2 linked regions of the Cricetulus griseus genome follow. The protein of the gene in region 1 purifies or fractionates together with the protein of each later gene. This does not show direct contact. Links are inferred from orthologs where the notes say so. Each region holds a gene or a part of one and is shown on either strand. Other genes may lie near its edges.

The links.
Region 2: the proteins of Tubgcp3 (region 1) and Lgals3bp purify together in Homo sapiens (affinity purification with mass spectrometry; 4 studies listed by BioGRID and IntAct, counting the BioPlex papers as one, with this or other methods). This does not show direct contact. The link is inferred for Cricetulus griseus from reciprocal best matches to the Homo sapiens genes TUBGCP3 and LGALS3BP.

What each region holds. Positions count from the first base shown.
Region 1 is NW_023276807.1:68,079,827-68,086,552, forward strand, and holds part of Tubgcp3 (gamma-tubulin complex component 3), read left to right. Parts: intron 1-2,828; coding exon 2,829-2,936; intron 2,937-6,586; coding exon 6,587-6,654; intron 6,655-6,726. UniProt on the Homo sapiens protein: Component of the gamma-tubulin ring complex (gTuRC) which mediates microtubule nucleation.
Region 2 is NC_048600.1:130,942,614-130,949,960, forward strand, and holds the start of Lgals3bp (galectin-3-binding protein), read right to left. Parts: upstream 4,966-7,347; 5' UTR 4,803-4,965; intron 1,938-4,802; 5' UTR 1,916-1,937; coding exon 1,864-1,915; intron 945-1,863; coding exon 753-944; intron 619-752; coding exon 487-618; intron 1-486.

The DNA.
Region 1 (6,726 bases):
GGGTGATTCCAGCATCTGCAGTGAGTGTCCCAGTCATAGGTGAAATCAGATGGCTAAGGCTGTCAGTTATGACTTAACGCACTATAACATCATTTTTCCTTGATTGGATCCAAAAATTTTACCTCCCAGGAAGAACCTCATTGTGGAAACCCATCTTTGTGGGGTTTCAGTCGGATCCAGCTGACTTGCCTGGTTCATACCTGAGGAGAGTGTGGATTGAGAAAGGGCAGGGGAAAACGCTTAAGAAAGAGATGGCAACACAGGATAGAGTCAGGAGGGCAAGCAAGTGAATACTGAACACCCCAATTTTATTCTTCAACATTCTTAAGTACCCCAACCAAAAGGGAGGACATGGCAGAAGACTTCTATTATCTTGTATAATGAGCAAACAGACCTTCTTCCCTTAATCCTCCAAGCATTTGGTAACCACACCTGTTGCCAGCCTTGAGGGTCAAGAGTAACCACACCTCATACCAAGTCTGTTGTTATTTATGAAAAGTTTTTATACCTGATAAGCCTCTCCACTGATTTAGGGATCCAAATCAGACCAAATCAAACCAAATTAGAAAAAGCCCACATTTAATGGATACAGTGTTGCCAGATGGCCTTCCAGCCCTCCAGAGAGGACACAGGAAAGAGAGACTGGAAAAACCATGAGTTTTCTGGGAGGCAGTTTAAATACCCTGTGGGAGTGGTCTTGAGCATCTCTAGGGGAGGGGTCATCATTTGGCAGGCTTTCTGAGATGCAGCTGGGTTCGGAGAGATAGAGATAGGGGGCTAGGAGAGGGAGGCTTGGGTGAAACTTCTACCATAGCATTCCAGACTCAGGGTGTATGGATGCCGGGGGCTGAGGTGAAGCTTCCACAATAATATCCCAGACTCTTTGGATGTATGGACACTGGTTCACGTCTGGCTTCTTCCTGCTGACAAGGGACAATGTGGGGGAGGGGAGAGTCAGGAGTTGGTGGGTTCACGCTCAGTGGAAGGTGTGGGTGAAGAAGCATTTCATTAGCTGCCAGTCTGTAGACCTCAGGTACCTGTTCCTTGAGCAGGCAGAGAAGGCAGGTTGCTAGGAGAAAAAAATAGATTGTTGTCATTGGCCCTATGAACGGGGGCTAGCCATGGGAAGAGTGGTAACTTCTGGAAAGAAGGGAATGGAGAAGTGTCCTGGTAGTGGCTGTGTGTGCCAAAAGTGGAAGGGCTGAGGAACAGGGCTTTCTGAACCCCTTGGAGTCCAGCCCATCTCATCATGATCGCCAGATGCTGGCCATGGAGCTGCAGGCTTTGGTTTTGGCCATATTGGATTTGGAGTTCGGGTTTGATTATTCATTGCTATGCCTTGATTGTTCCATTTTGAAGTTGGAGTGTTTATTCTGTGCAATATGTTAGAGCTAAGTTGTGTTTGGTTTTATAAGAGTTCACAGTTCAGTTTTTTGCACTTAATAAAATGTTGAAAATTTTAAGACCTCAGAAACTTAAAATTGGACTGTAGTTTACATTCATATTATGAGGGTCTCTTAGTCACTGTTCTATTGTTGTGAAGAGACACCATGACCGTGGCGTCTCTTACAAAGGAAAGCATTTAACTGGGTTTTTCTTACAGTTTCAGAGGGTTAGTCCATTATTAACATGCCAGGAAGCATTGTGGCAGGGAGGCAGACATGGAACAGGAGAAGGATCTGCAGACAGCAGGAAGAACAAGAGCCATTGGGCCTGGTTTGGGCTTTGGGAACCTAAATGCACACCCCGCAGTGACACTTTCTCCAACAAGGCCACACCTCCTAATCCTTCTCAAGTAGTGCTACTCCCTATTGGCCAAATGTCTTAGGGTTTTATTGCTGTGAAGAGGCACCATGACCACTGCAAATCTTACTTTAGTTTATTCTGTGTGTTTTTTCAACAGAGGGTTTCTCTGTGTAGCTGTGACTGTCCTGGGACTCACTGTGTAGACCAGGCTGACCTCAAACTCAAAGATCCCCTTCCTCTGCCTCCTGAGTGCTGATTGAAGATGTGCACCACCACTGCTGCGGCTGGGCTATGGCAGCTCTTTGTTTAGGAAACTATTTAATTGGGGTTGGCTTACAGTTCAGTGGTTTAGTCCATTATTGTCTTGATGGGAAGCGTGGTAGCCTGCAGGCAGGCATGGTGCTGGAGAGGTATCTGAGAGTTCTAATCCACAGGCAGTAGGAAGAGACAGTGAGTCACTAAGCCTGGCTTAAGCTTCTGAAACCTCAAAACCCACCTCCAGTGACACATCTCCTTCAACAAAGCCACACCTACTCCACCAAGGACACACCTCCTAATGTTGCCATTTCTGTGAACCAATGGGAGCCATTTCCTTTCTAACTACCACACCAAGCTTTCAAAAATAAAAGGCTATGGGGCCATTCCTTTTCATTCCACCACATTCCAATTCCTGGCACCTATAGGCTTATAGTCATATTATAATTAAAAAAATGCATTCAATCAAACGTCATAATTCCTCATAGTTAATAACAGTCTAAACAAAAGTCCAAAAGTCTCTTGTGAGACACATTACAATCTTTTAACTGTAATCTCCTGTAAAACCAAAATAAAAAAGCAGCTCACATGCTTCCAACATACAATGGCACAGAATAACATTACCATTCGAAAAGGGAGGAAAGGGAGCATAATGAGGAAATACTGGACCAAAGCAAGACTGAAAACCAGCAGGGTAAACTCCAGACTGTATCTCCATGTCTGATGTCAACAGGCTCTTCAGATCTCCAACTCCTGTTCTCTTGAGCTGTGTGCTCTGGTGATGAAAACTGTCCTGCTGTAACTTGCACCCTCTGCTCACCTTCCAGCTGATGTTGCCCAGCAGTTCCAGTTTGCTGTGAGAGTCATCGGCAGCAACTTTGCTCCAACTGTTGAAAGAGATGAATTTCTAGTAGCTGAAAAAATCAAGAAAGAACGTATGTATTTTTCTTTATTATGTGTTGGATTATGAAACGTGAAAACTCAAGAATATGTGATATGTGTATGTGTATGCTCATATGTGTGTCTACCTGCATGTGATATATGTGTGCATGCTCATGGGTATACACATGTGTGTATATGTGCCTTCTGTGTTCATGTATCCACCCATGTATGCATGTGCATATCTGTGTATGCATGTTTGCATATATACCCATATATACATGTGCATATGAGCGTATGTTTTTTTTTTCAAGCATGTTTTAGTTACAGATACTATTAAAAATAAGGACAGTTCAATTTTGTCTTGGCATTAAAATTACTAAAATATAGTGGAAGTTTATTTTTTTATTTTTTGTTTTTTTTGTAATTTATTTTTTATTTAAATTAGAAACAAGCTTCTTTTACATGTCAATCTCAGTTTCCTCTCCCTCCCCTCCTTCCGTGCCCCCCACTGACCCCGTTATCCCAACCCCTCTGCTCCCCAGGAAGGGTGAGGCCGTCCATGGGGGATCTTCAATGACTGTCATATCATTTGGAGCAGGGCCTATACCCTCCCCAGTGTGTCTAGGCTGAGAGAGTATCCCTCTATGTGGGGCAGGATCCCAAAGTTCATTGTGTACTAGGGATAAATACTGATCCACTATCAGTGGCTCCATAGACTAACCAGACATCCAAACTGACTTCCTCCTTCAGGGGGTCTGGAACAGTCCTATGCTGCTTTCTCAGCTATGAGTCTGGGGTCCATGAGCTCCCCCTTGTTCAGGTCAACTGTTTTTGTGGGTTTCTCCAGCCTGGTCTTTACCCCTTTGATCATCACTCCTCCCTCTCTGCAACTGGATTCCAGAGTTCAGCTCAGTGTTTAGCTGTGGGTGTCTGCTTCTGCTTCTATCAGCTATTGGATGAAGGCTCTAGGATAGCATATAAGGTAGTCATCAATCTCATTATCTGAGAAGGGCTTTTAAGGTAGCCTCTGGACTATTGCTTAGATTGTTAGCTGGGGTCAACCTTGTAGGTCTCTGGACATTTCCCTAGTGTCAGAATTCTCTTTAAATCTATAATGGCTCCCTCTATGATGGTATCCCTTTTCTTGTTCCCCTCCATTCCTCCCCTGACTAGATCTTCCTGCTCCCTATGTCCTCCTCTCCCCTCCCCTTCTCCCCTTCTCCCCTTCTCTTTCTTCTAATTTCCTCTCCCCTCCTCTCATGATTCCCGGTAGCTTAGGAGATCTTGTCCCTTTCCCCTTCTACGGGGGACCATGTATGTCTGTCTTAGGTTCCTCCTTGTTTCCTACCTTCTCTGTCAGTGTAAATTGTGGGCTGGTAATCCCCTGCTCCATGTCTAAAATCCATATATGAGTGAGTACATACCATTTTTGTCTTTTTGTGACTGGGTTACCTCACTCAGGATAGTTTCTCCTAGTTCCATCCATTTGCCTGAGAATTTCAAGATTCCATTGTTTTTAGTGGAAGTTTATTTTAAATGTTTCATAACACTGTAATTTAGTTTTAGAATACGAAAGATAAAAGGACTCACTGTCACCTCTTGCCTCTCTGAATTCCATATCCTAATATCCCAGTTAACCAGTCTCTATGAGGCATCATTGCTTCTTTCATTGGCCCTCAGAGTTTCAGTACTTCAGAACTGTGCAAGCATTTTACTTCTGAGATGGTACTTATGGCTGTCTTAGATGTGGCACCTTGGAGAAGGCGGCTCTCCACTCATGACACTTGGATTAGTTGTAGTAGTTGGGTTGGGTGAGGCCAGCTATCCTTCCCTCTCAGCCTTTGAAGTGCTTTGTGGAGTCTAGGCTCTGAGTAGCAGGCAGTCTTCGACAATCTGGGCCTGGCTGGAGAGAGTATTTTGCTGGAGTGCTAGCATGCTGCAGTAGGGGCCTTTCAGTGGGATTGAAAAACCTGCCTTTGATGTTATCAGCTTCTTCCTCCTGGGACCTACTATTAAACTGCCCAAATGAGGTAGGCTTTGATTTTGTTTCTAAATGTTTGACAGACTGGCAATAGCACTCCTAGGAAGTCATTCTACATGGCATAGTATCCTGCCATGAGCTGTTGCATGAGGAACTGCATGGGCCAGTGATCTTTCATAGTTGTAACACAGAGTTGGGGAGTATTGACTGGTGACATATCTGAGGCTTTCGCCCCAGAATGATTGGATCTAGTGCCTCTGCCTATTGAGAACTTGAGTGGGTGACTCTCTAAGAACCCAGCAGCTAGAATGGCAGCCTTGGCGTGACTCAGTGGTCATACCTACAGTGTGCGCCTGCAGTGGTCCTCTCTTATCAGCTGCTTTCCTTTCTTGGTTTTAAGCTACCCATGGTCAACTATGGTTGGAAAATTGTGATAGGAAAATGCATCCTACAAACAGAAGATGCATCGAACTGAAATGACCTGCCATCTTAAGGGATGCATTGAGGTCTCATGTCACTCCACTCCTTCCTGCCTGGCCTAGCAACAGTTCTCAACTTCACAAAGAACATCAACTGCTTAATGTCATAACTGTATTTTTGTGGAGTCTATTTCTGTTGTTTGTTGTTTGTTTTTCAAGACAGGGTTTCTCTGTATATCAGCTCTGGCTGTCCTAGAACTCTCTTTGTAGACCAGGTTGGCCTCAAATTCACAGAGATCTACCTGTCTCTGCCTCCCGAATGCTAGGATTAAAGGGGTGCACCACCACTGCTTAGCCATTTCTGTGTTTTAAAGATAGCTGTTGTGTTACATTTTGCTAGTAGGCAGTATAATTTTCTTTAGAGGCCTCTGTGTACAGTGTGTTCCTCAAGGGACCCATGTCTGGTCTGTAGATTCTGCTTTATCATGGAACAGAACATAGACTGAATTTGCCACTGATTACTGCTGCTTATGATGATTTGTGAGCAGAACTGGAATATCCAGACATTTATTACTAAAATGAAAATTAATGATACAATTAATCATTAATAAAATAATCAGCAATAATGAACAATAAAATATTGAAAATAAAATTAATAGTAAGTTGATACTTAGTTTGAGACAATGGTTATTTTATACTGAAGCAAGATAGACTACTGCTGCACATCTTAGCAAAAATGTTAGAATGTGACTTTTTTTGAGACAAGGTCTTGTCCTTGTGTAGCTCTGTTTGGTCAGCAAGGCTGGCCTTGAACTTACAAAGGTCCTCCTGCCCCTGCCTTCTGAGTGCCAGGATTAAAGACATGTATCATCACACCTGGCTAGAATGTGGCTTTTTAAATCAGATGGACTGTCATGTATGGTCATCATGTGAATTCATGATCCATCCCTCTGTCTCTCTGTCCCTCTTCCCTCCCCCTCCCCCTCCCCCATCCCCCCTCCCTCTGTCCCTCCAGGTAACTGTTATTAATTAGTAGAGTTGATAGTTTGCCTGGCTGTGGATCAGTATTTGCAGACAGCCCTCTCTTCATCCCAGCCCGATAGTCTTCCTGTTTTACATGCACAGAGGGGCTGGATGAGCTGACTAAATCAACATTGCTGAAAGTCTCGTGGTCCTGTACTTTGGTTTCTTAGGCAGGATTCTTCCAGCACTGCCCTGTCTGTTAGCACAGATGAAATGATTTCCTAACACTGAATCTTGGTGCATGCAACTAATATGCTCAATTCCTTTTCTACATTTTCAGTTATTCGACAAAGGAGAGAAGCAGATGCTGCGTTGTTTTCAGAGCTGCACAGAAAACTTCATACCCAGGTACAGTGAAATGTTCTGATGGCTGTGAATGGAGAATAGCTTGGGAATGCATGACCATCCTTGGGTGCTGTC
Region 2 (7,347 bases), on another chromosome or scaffold:
CAGGAGGACACCATAGATGGCGGCCAGGAAGGAAGGCTCCCATTGAGCCTCAGACACGGGAGGTGAAGAGTTGGAACGGGGTCGGGGTTTTTGGCAGGCAGGACTTTGGGCACCAGAGCTCTTGACCATCGCCATTGAGAACCGCGTCAATGTCACCACACACGGGTGTGTGCGCACAGGGGCGTGCATGCACTATGTCAGAGCAAGTGACAACCACCAGATGTTGAGCTTCAGAGAGCCCACCCTCCCTCATACAGGTGTCACTGTATATGGGATACAGTCCCTTACCCATAATCCACTGCTCTACTGCACAGCTGCTCTGGCATGGGTATCGCAAGGGGCCCTCTTGGAGGAAGTGGGCTTTCATGCATCCCAGCCACACCCAGAGCGCCACTCTCAACTTCTGTTTACACATGGGTGCTGGGAGAGGCAGGGCATGGGCCCACCACACTTCCTCCAGGTGCTGGGAGGGCAAGGGCAGCTCACCGTTGGAACAGACCACGCCCGCATCCTTCTCGTGCCCGCAGCGGCTCTTCAGCCAGCCCAGGGAGCTGCAATTGGCCAGCGAGGGCTCCGTTCCTGCACATTCCACCTCATCCAGCATGACAGGTCCCTGTCCTATGGGCACAAAAGGAAGCCAGGGGCTGCACTGGAGGGGGAACTGGACCCTTGGTGGAGAGCAGGTCCCTCAACAGGGCCGCTCACTGACACACTAGGACGTCAGCTTTGGAGGGGTGGGATAGCAGCCACACCTGGCCCGAAGGCAGCTCTGCCCAGCGCCCGAGTGGCGTTCTCGTAGCCCAGGGCCCGGCAAACGACGTTGGCATCTAAAATGTTCCAGAGGTTGTCACACACTGTCCCCCACTGGCCTCTGTAGAAGATCTCCACGCGGCCCTCACTGGCTGAGGCTCCATTAACCAGACGCATGTCCCCATCTTCGGTACCTGCCAGGAAAGCGGAGGTCAGACGGGAGGAGGGCTGGCCTGTTTTGGTGCCCACCCCCAGGACTTCGATGCTTTGTGCTGTTCTGCTGGGTGAAGGCTGCCCCAACTGGGGTGCAATGGCCTTCTAGAGTTGGTCTTGAACCACTTCCATGCCCCCTCTCCAGGTGTGAAAAGTTATCCACTGAGGAGGTGTGGAAGCTCTGTGAGGGCCCACAAGGAGGCTGTGGCCTTTCTATCTCTCAGTACTGGGCCTTTTGCTACAAAGGAACACCTCAGATCTCCAGCCTGCAGAGTGGAAGTGGTGGCCCCCGGAGGATCTGGGAGGGGAAGTGGTCCCTTGCTGGCTCTTGGAATACTGGCCTGAGGGGACAGGCAGACACAGGCAGAGAGAGATGCCCCTCAAACCTACAGCATCAGTCTAAAGCAGACAACCCTGAACCACAGACAGTCTGCACTCAGGCAACGGGCTCCTGTCCCCCACTCTCTGGGGCTCCTATCTCTGCCAGTGCTCAGAGGGCCAGCAAGTAGCTGGGTGCTTGAATTTGGGGGTCACCCATGCTAAAGAGGGATGCTCAGCTGAGGGTGCAGGATGACTACCCTCAGGGACTCTCTGAATTCTAACCTGTGCCCTGAGGCCTCCATTCTAGGTTAGCACAGGCCCAGAACGCCCTCCTTGGCCCAAGGATGAGATGGGAGGTTCCTGGGCATTTCTCCATCACCTGAGTTTCACTTGGGCCCAGGTGAGCCCGAGGGCCCACACACCACCATTACTTGGAATGACTGGGGGTCCACATGGAGAGAATCCCGAGACACAGCACCTCACATCTGGGTTTTCTGCAAGGAGGGGGTGACCCACAGAGCGAAGTGCAGTAGCCTTGAAGACCTCTATTTTGGACATTTCCCAGCAGGCATGACTCACCTTGAGTTCCCGGAACCAGCAACCACAAAGAAAAGAGCCACAGGAGAGCCATTGCCTGGCCCAGAAGTCCAACCCTGCAGCGGAAGGGACAACAGAGTGAGGCTGGTAAGTTCTCCCTGGAAATGAGCAGTTCCACGGTCCTCTCGGCCCTGCTTGTGGGGGACAGGGCAGTTTTGAGGGCGGCCTCTCTTCTACAGGGCCTAGATGACAATGTGAGGCCCTCACGCAGGCCTCTCACATGCTCTGGGGACAACCTTCAGGTCAGTGAGATTTCCCAGGTGGAGCTCCTGGCAATGAGGACCCAGGAAGCACAAGGGGCTGTCCCTTGGGAAAGGACAGGGTGTAAGCCTGTTAACAGTTGGCCTTATCTTCAGGCAACAGCCCCTCTGTGTGGTGTGCCCCAGAGGCATGAGAGACACCAGTGGGAGGAGTTGTGGATGAGGTTGGAACAGGGGTCTCCTCCCTCAGGAGGGGAGTGACAGAAACAGTGCAGAAGGGCCTGGGCTCCAGTGGTGTGAAGCGGGGGTGGGTGGAGGTGTGAAGGTGTGAAGGGAGTGGGGTGGGAAGGGGTGAGGGGGTGGGTGGGAGGTGTGAAGGGGTGGGTGGGAGGTGTAAAGGGAGTGGGTGGGAGTGTGAAGGGGGTGGTGGGAGGTGTGAAGGGAGTGGGTGGGAAGGGTGAGGGGGTGGGTGGGAGGTGAGGGTGGGTGGGAGGTGTGGGGGGTGGGTGGGAGGTGTGAAGGGAGTGGGTGGGAGGTGTGAAGGGGTGGGTGGAGGTGTAAAGGGAGTGGTGTGTGAAGGGGGTGGGTGGAGGTGTGGGGGTGGGTGGGAGGTGTGAAGGGGGTGGGTGGGAGGTGTGAAGGGAGTGGGGTGGGAAGGGGTGAGGGGGTGGGTGGGAGGTGTGAGGGGTGGTGGGAGGTGTGAAGGGGTGGGAGGGAGGTGTGAAGTGGGGGTGGGTGGGAGGTGTGAAGGGTGGGTGGGAGGGGTGAAGGGGTGGGTGGAGGTGTGAAGTGGGTGGGTGGGAGGTGTGAAGGGGGTGGGTGGGAGGGGTGAAGGGGGTGGGTGGGAGGGTGAAGGGGGTGGGTGGGAGGTGAAGGGGGTGGGTGGAGGGGTGGGGGGTGGGTGGGAGGTGTGAGTGGGGGAGTGGGGAGTGGGAGGTGTAAAGGGAGTGGGTGGGAGGTGTGAAGGGGTGGGTGGGAGGTGTGAAGTGGGTGGGGTGGAGGTGTGAAGTGGGGGTGGGTGGGAGTGTGAAGTGGGATGGTGGGAAGGGTTTGAGGGGGTGGGTGGGAAGGGGTGAGGGGGTGGGTGGGAGGTGTGAAGGGGTGGGTGGGAGGTGTGAAGGGGTGGGTGGCAGGTGTGTCAGGGTCAACTCCTAATATGCTGCCAGCTCTAAGCAGGTGGGCAGAGAGGGACTCAGTCCTTAGGCTATGGCCTAAGCTCTTGCCTATCTTTAGGCTGTGCCCCTCACCCAGGCACTGGCCCTCATCCCTGCAAGGATGTGGACGACCACAGTGCAGGAGGCCTGGTGACACCCACTCCACTCCCAGCAGACAGGAGAGCTTGGCTCTGGCTAGCGGGTGGTGCTATTAGGAGCACTATCTACTGGGCAACAGCTGGTAACCTCAAGTTGTTTCTTTGTTACTCAGACCAGGGGCCCGGGGATGTGCACCAGAGATAGCCCAGGAGCAGTAGAAATACAGGGTTGCCCCTCACCCCCCATACCCTTCTGCCACCCCTGTCCCAGACTTCTACACTAGACCAGTATGAAGGACCTCAGGGTCCCAGCCCACTTGTAGCCATCCTGGCAGGGGTGATGATGTTCAAAGAGAGACTTGTGCCCCTCCCTTTGACTACTGAAACAAGGCACCCCAAGGAGCTGGAATTCCCCCAGGAGTCTCATGCTGAGAGGAGAAAGCTGAATTGTGGTGACAGCTTCACTAGGGGGAGCTTGTCTCCAGGAAAGAGACTGACAGCCCAGGCAATGACCAGGCTAGCTGAGTTTTCCACACCTCTAGCCCTCTGTTTAAATCTAGACCTCATGTTAGTACCCCCTAATGGACTCAAGGGGGAGGCTGGATCTGTGCTCATCTTCTCCACGTGGTCCCATCAGGTAAAGCTCCTGTTTATGTTTCTCACTATTGTATCTTTAACTGTACCACAGAGGATGCGCGGCTGAGCCTGGTATCGGGGGAGCTGTCTGGGCACAGACTCTGACCATCGAGTCCTGTAACACGCCGGGGTGGGAAGCTCGTTGCTGGGCACCCTCCCCACCACACTCAGCAGGTCCCCCTCTGCAGCCTTCTAAAGCCAGCCATAGAGTAAACAAGACCCCAGGCGAGTTTCCACATCCCAAGACACTCTGAAGCTAGAGGGTCAGCTGTCTCCAGGTCACACAGCTAGTGAGCCCCAAGTTGGGGTCTGCCCAGGGGGAGCCATCTTGTACCATGCAGACCCTGGCAGAGGCAGAAGGAGCATCTGTGTGCTGAGACATCACCCCAGCTTAATCCCAGGGAACCCTGTGTTCTGGGAAACCTGAGTTCCAAGGAAAACTGCCCCAGGTGCCCATCCTCTGCACTGACTACAGGCTGTGGCCATAGGTTTGTCCGTGCCGGGTCAAGAGCTCTAGGCCTTGGGAACATTGCAGGTACATGGATGTGGTTGTCCTCTGGATGGCAGAGGATGTTTCTGTGTGACTCCTTTGTGTGGGAAGTTGGGACAAGTCTGCCTCTGCTGGCCCATTCGGTACCTCTGTGTAGGTAGGCACAGGCCTGGGCAAGAGCACACAGACCCAGGAGAGGGCCAAGGGCTCGATTCTGACACACTTCTCCCTTCAGCAAACACCCACCCAACTGCATAGAGTTCTCACACATCTAGGAGGAGCACCATGGCTCCCGTGCTCAGCGGCCTGCCAGTGATCCGTGCTGTGTAGAGTGGGGACTCACCTGGAAGCCAGAGACAGGAACTACCTGTCTGTGAGGGGCTGAAGATGGTCCCGGAGCCTCCCTGCTGGCTGCAATCAGAAGCTCTTTGTAGACTGTTCGCGGAGACAGGCACCACCATGTGGTTTTCCTCAGCCTCGTCCCAGGAAATGCTTTATAAACCTTGTCTAGTTTCGGTTTCCAGAAAACACATGACAGAGGTTGCTTCTGGGGTTGGCTGCAGACAAGGCTAGCAGCCCCAAGCTTACTTGCTGCTCTGTTGGTATGGCAGGCACCCAAGTGCCCTATGGCTAAGCAGATAAAACAATAATGTTCAGTCACCTAGGCTACAGCTATGTTTTACCAAATTCATGTTCAGGCTGGCCAGGCAGGCACCCTGGGGATTGGGGGGGGGTGATGCAGTGGGCCTGGAGCAGAGGCTCAGGGGGAACAGACTGTGTCTATGGGTATGGTTGAGGGCTGCGCAATCCTTGCCTGGACCTGGGGAAGCAGGCTGTGTTCCTCATGCACAAACCTACTGCAGGGGAAAAGGGCCAGCCAAAGAAACACACTTTAGCCCTGCAACCAGAACCAAAGAAATGCACACTGACCCTGAAAACAGTGCCAAAGAAACTCATTTTGTCCCTGGAATCAGAGCCAGTGAAAGAAACACACACGCCCTAAAATTAGAGCCCAAAGCCTAAAAGGGACCAGTGAAAGAAACCAGAGCCCTGAACCTGAGCAGAAAACCAACTGCCCTGACCCGTGGGGAATCACGCGAGCTCACCACCCCCCCCCCATGTGCTGCAGTCACCAAAGAACCTAGAACGGTAGGGTCAGGGGGAACAAAGAACGACAGTAAGACAGGTTTCTAATCAAGCTACAAATTTTTATTTTTCACAGGGACCTGATATAGGGGTGCCAAGCGGGGAGCTTGGCAGGAAGGGAGAGGTTGTTTGAGGCTGCCTGCCTGATAACCGGGCTGAGGAATGTCCCTGTGCGTGAGTCCTTGAGAGTGCAGGAGGTTACCAAGGTCTCAGGGTGCTGGTGTTAGATAATGGGTTAGATGTGGGGGACCAAAATCTTTCAGCTATGGAATATTTTGAGTTCCGGCCTTTGGTTTCACCACTATTGCATTAATTGCCACTAGGCTACTACTGTTTACCATAGCCTGAGGGTAATATGCCTCCTAATTTGCATCTCTGTAGTTTAAGCCTTGAATAGGCCCTCACCTGGGCGGAGGAGAGAGAGGTATGAGTAACTTGGGAGGACAGAAAGTTGGGAGTTAAGAGGCTCCCTGCCAGAGCAGCGAGGAAACAAAGAGAGAAATGGTTGCCTTATAGTATTAGCAGCATGGTTAAGAGACACCAGAAAAGATGGCTAATAAAGAAATGACTCTAGTTCCACAACATGGAACTGAGAGCTCTCTAAAGATGACAAGATGCCTGTGTTTGGTCTTTATCGCCGTCCACACCCCCCACTCAGGTAGAACCTCATGGACTAAGGCTGAGACAGTTAGAAGGGGGAAGGGTTGCTAGGTAACCTGACCATGAAATGTATCTTTCCTTCTATAAGCTACTTCATGAGCCCAGACATTATGTATCAGGGAGGAAAGGATTAAAGGCAGCTATTCTTTTGATTATAGTGTGCTTATACTGGCAGCTTCTGCCCAAGTCTCTTACAGGTCCAAGGTTACTTTTGCCATGGCCCCCAACAACCAACCAATCCCTGAGCACCAGATCCAGTCAATCTGAGCTCAGAGATTGAAATCTAATCAATCCCCACCCTAGAAATCTCCCTGGAAAAACTCCTCCCCTAAGAAGCCCCATATAAACCCTGTGTCTGTTCAGCTTGTGGCTGTTAGGCTGTCCCCCTGCCTTCTTCCACCCTGGAAGAAGTAGCCACTCTCCTGGATTTTCCCCTCCCAATAAATGTCTTGAATGAGGTTTGGGTGAGACCTTCCTTTGCCAGAATGGAGTGGAGGAGAGAAGTAAAAACTTTTCAGCAGAGCCCAGCAGAGCAGAGAGGAGCAAACTGTAACAACCTCGCAGGGGAGACCCTCCCCTGCTGGAGCAGAGCTGTTACACTGGGGAAGCCTTTCCCTGGTGCAGGACTGTAAGCTGCTATGCTTACTGTGACCTGTGGTATTCTTTGGCTCCCAAGTGCCAGAATACCTTTCCATCTGAGCTGTAACACACAGTATTCTGTGACTCCCCAGTGCCAGATCCTCCCTGGCCATCCCATCCCATCTGCCCTTGAAACGCTTACACAAACTGTGCTGGGAGTGGAGGTACGTGGACCACAGAGTGGACCACGCCCGAGGGACAGGTTTAGAGACAAAAAGACCAAAGATAGAGTGCAGGGTTGGGAGCTGGGGTGGTTTAGTGGCTGAGAGTACGGCCTTGCCCTTACCTGAGTTCAACTCCCAGCACCCATGTTGGTTGGCTCAGAACAGCCTGTAACTCAGCTCCAGGAGAATCTGATACTTCTGGCCTCTGAGGGCACCCACACTCAAGTGTGTGCGTACACACACACACACACACACACACACACACACACTTAAAAAACT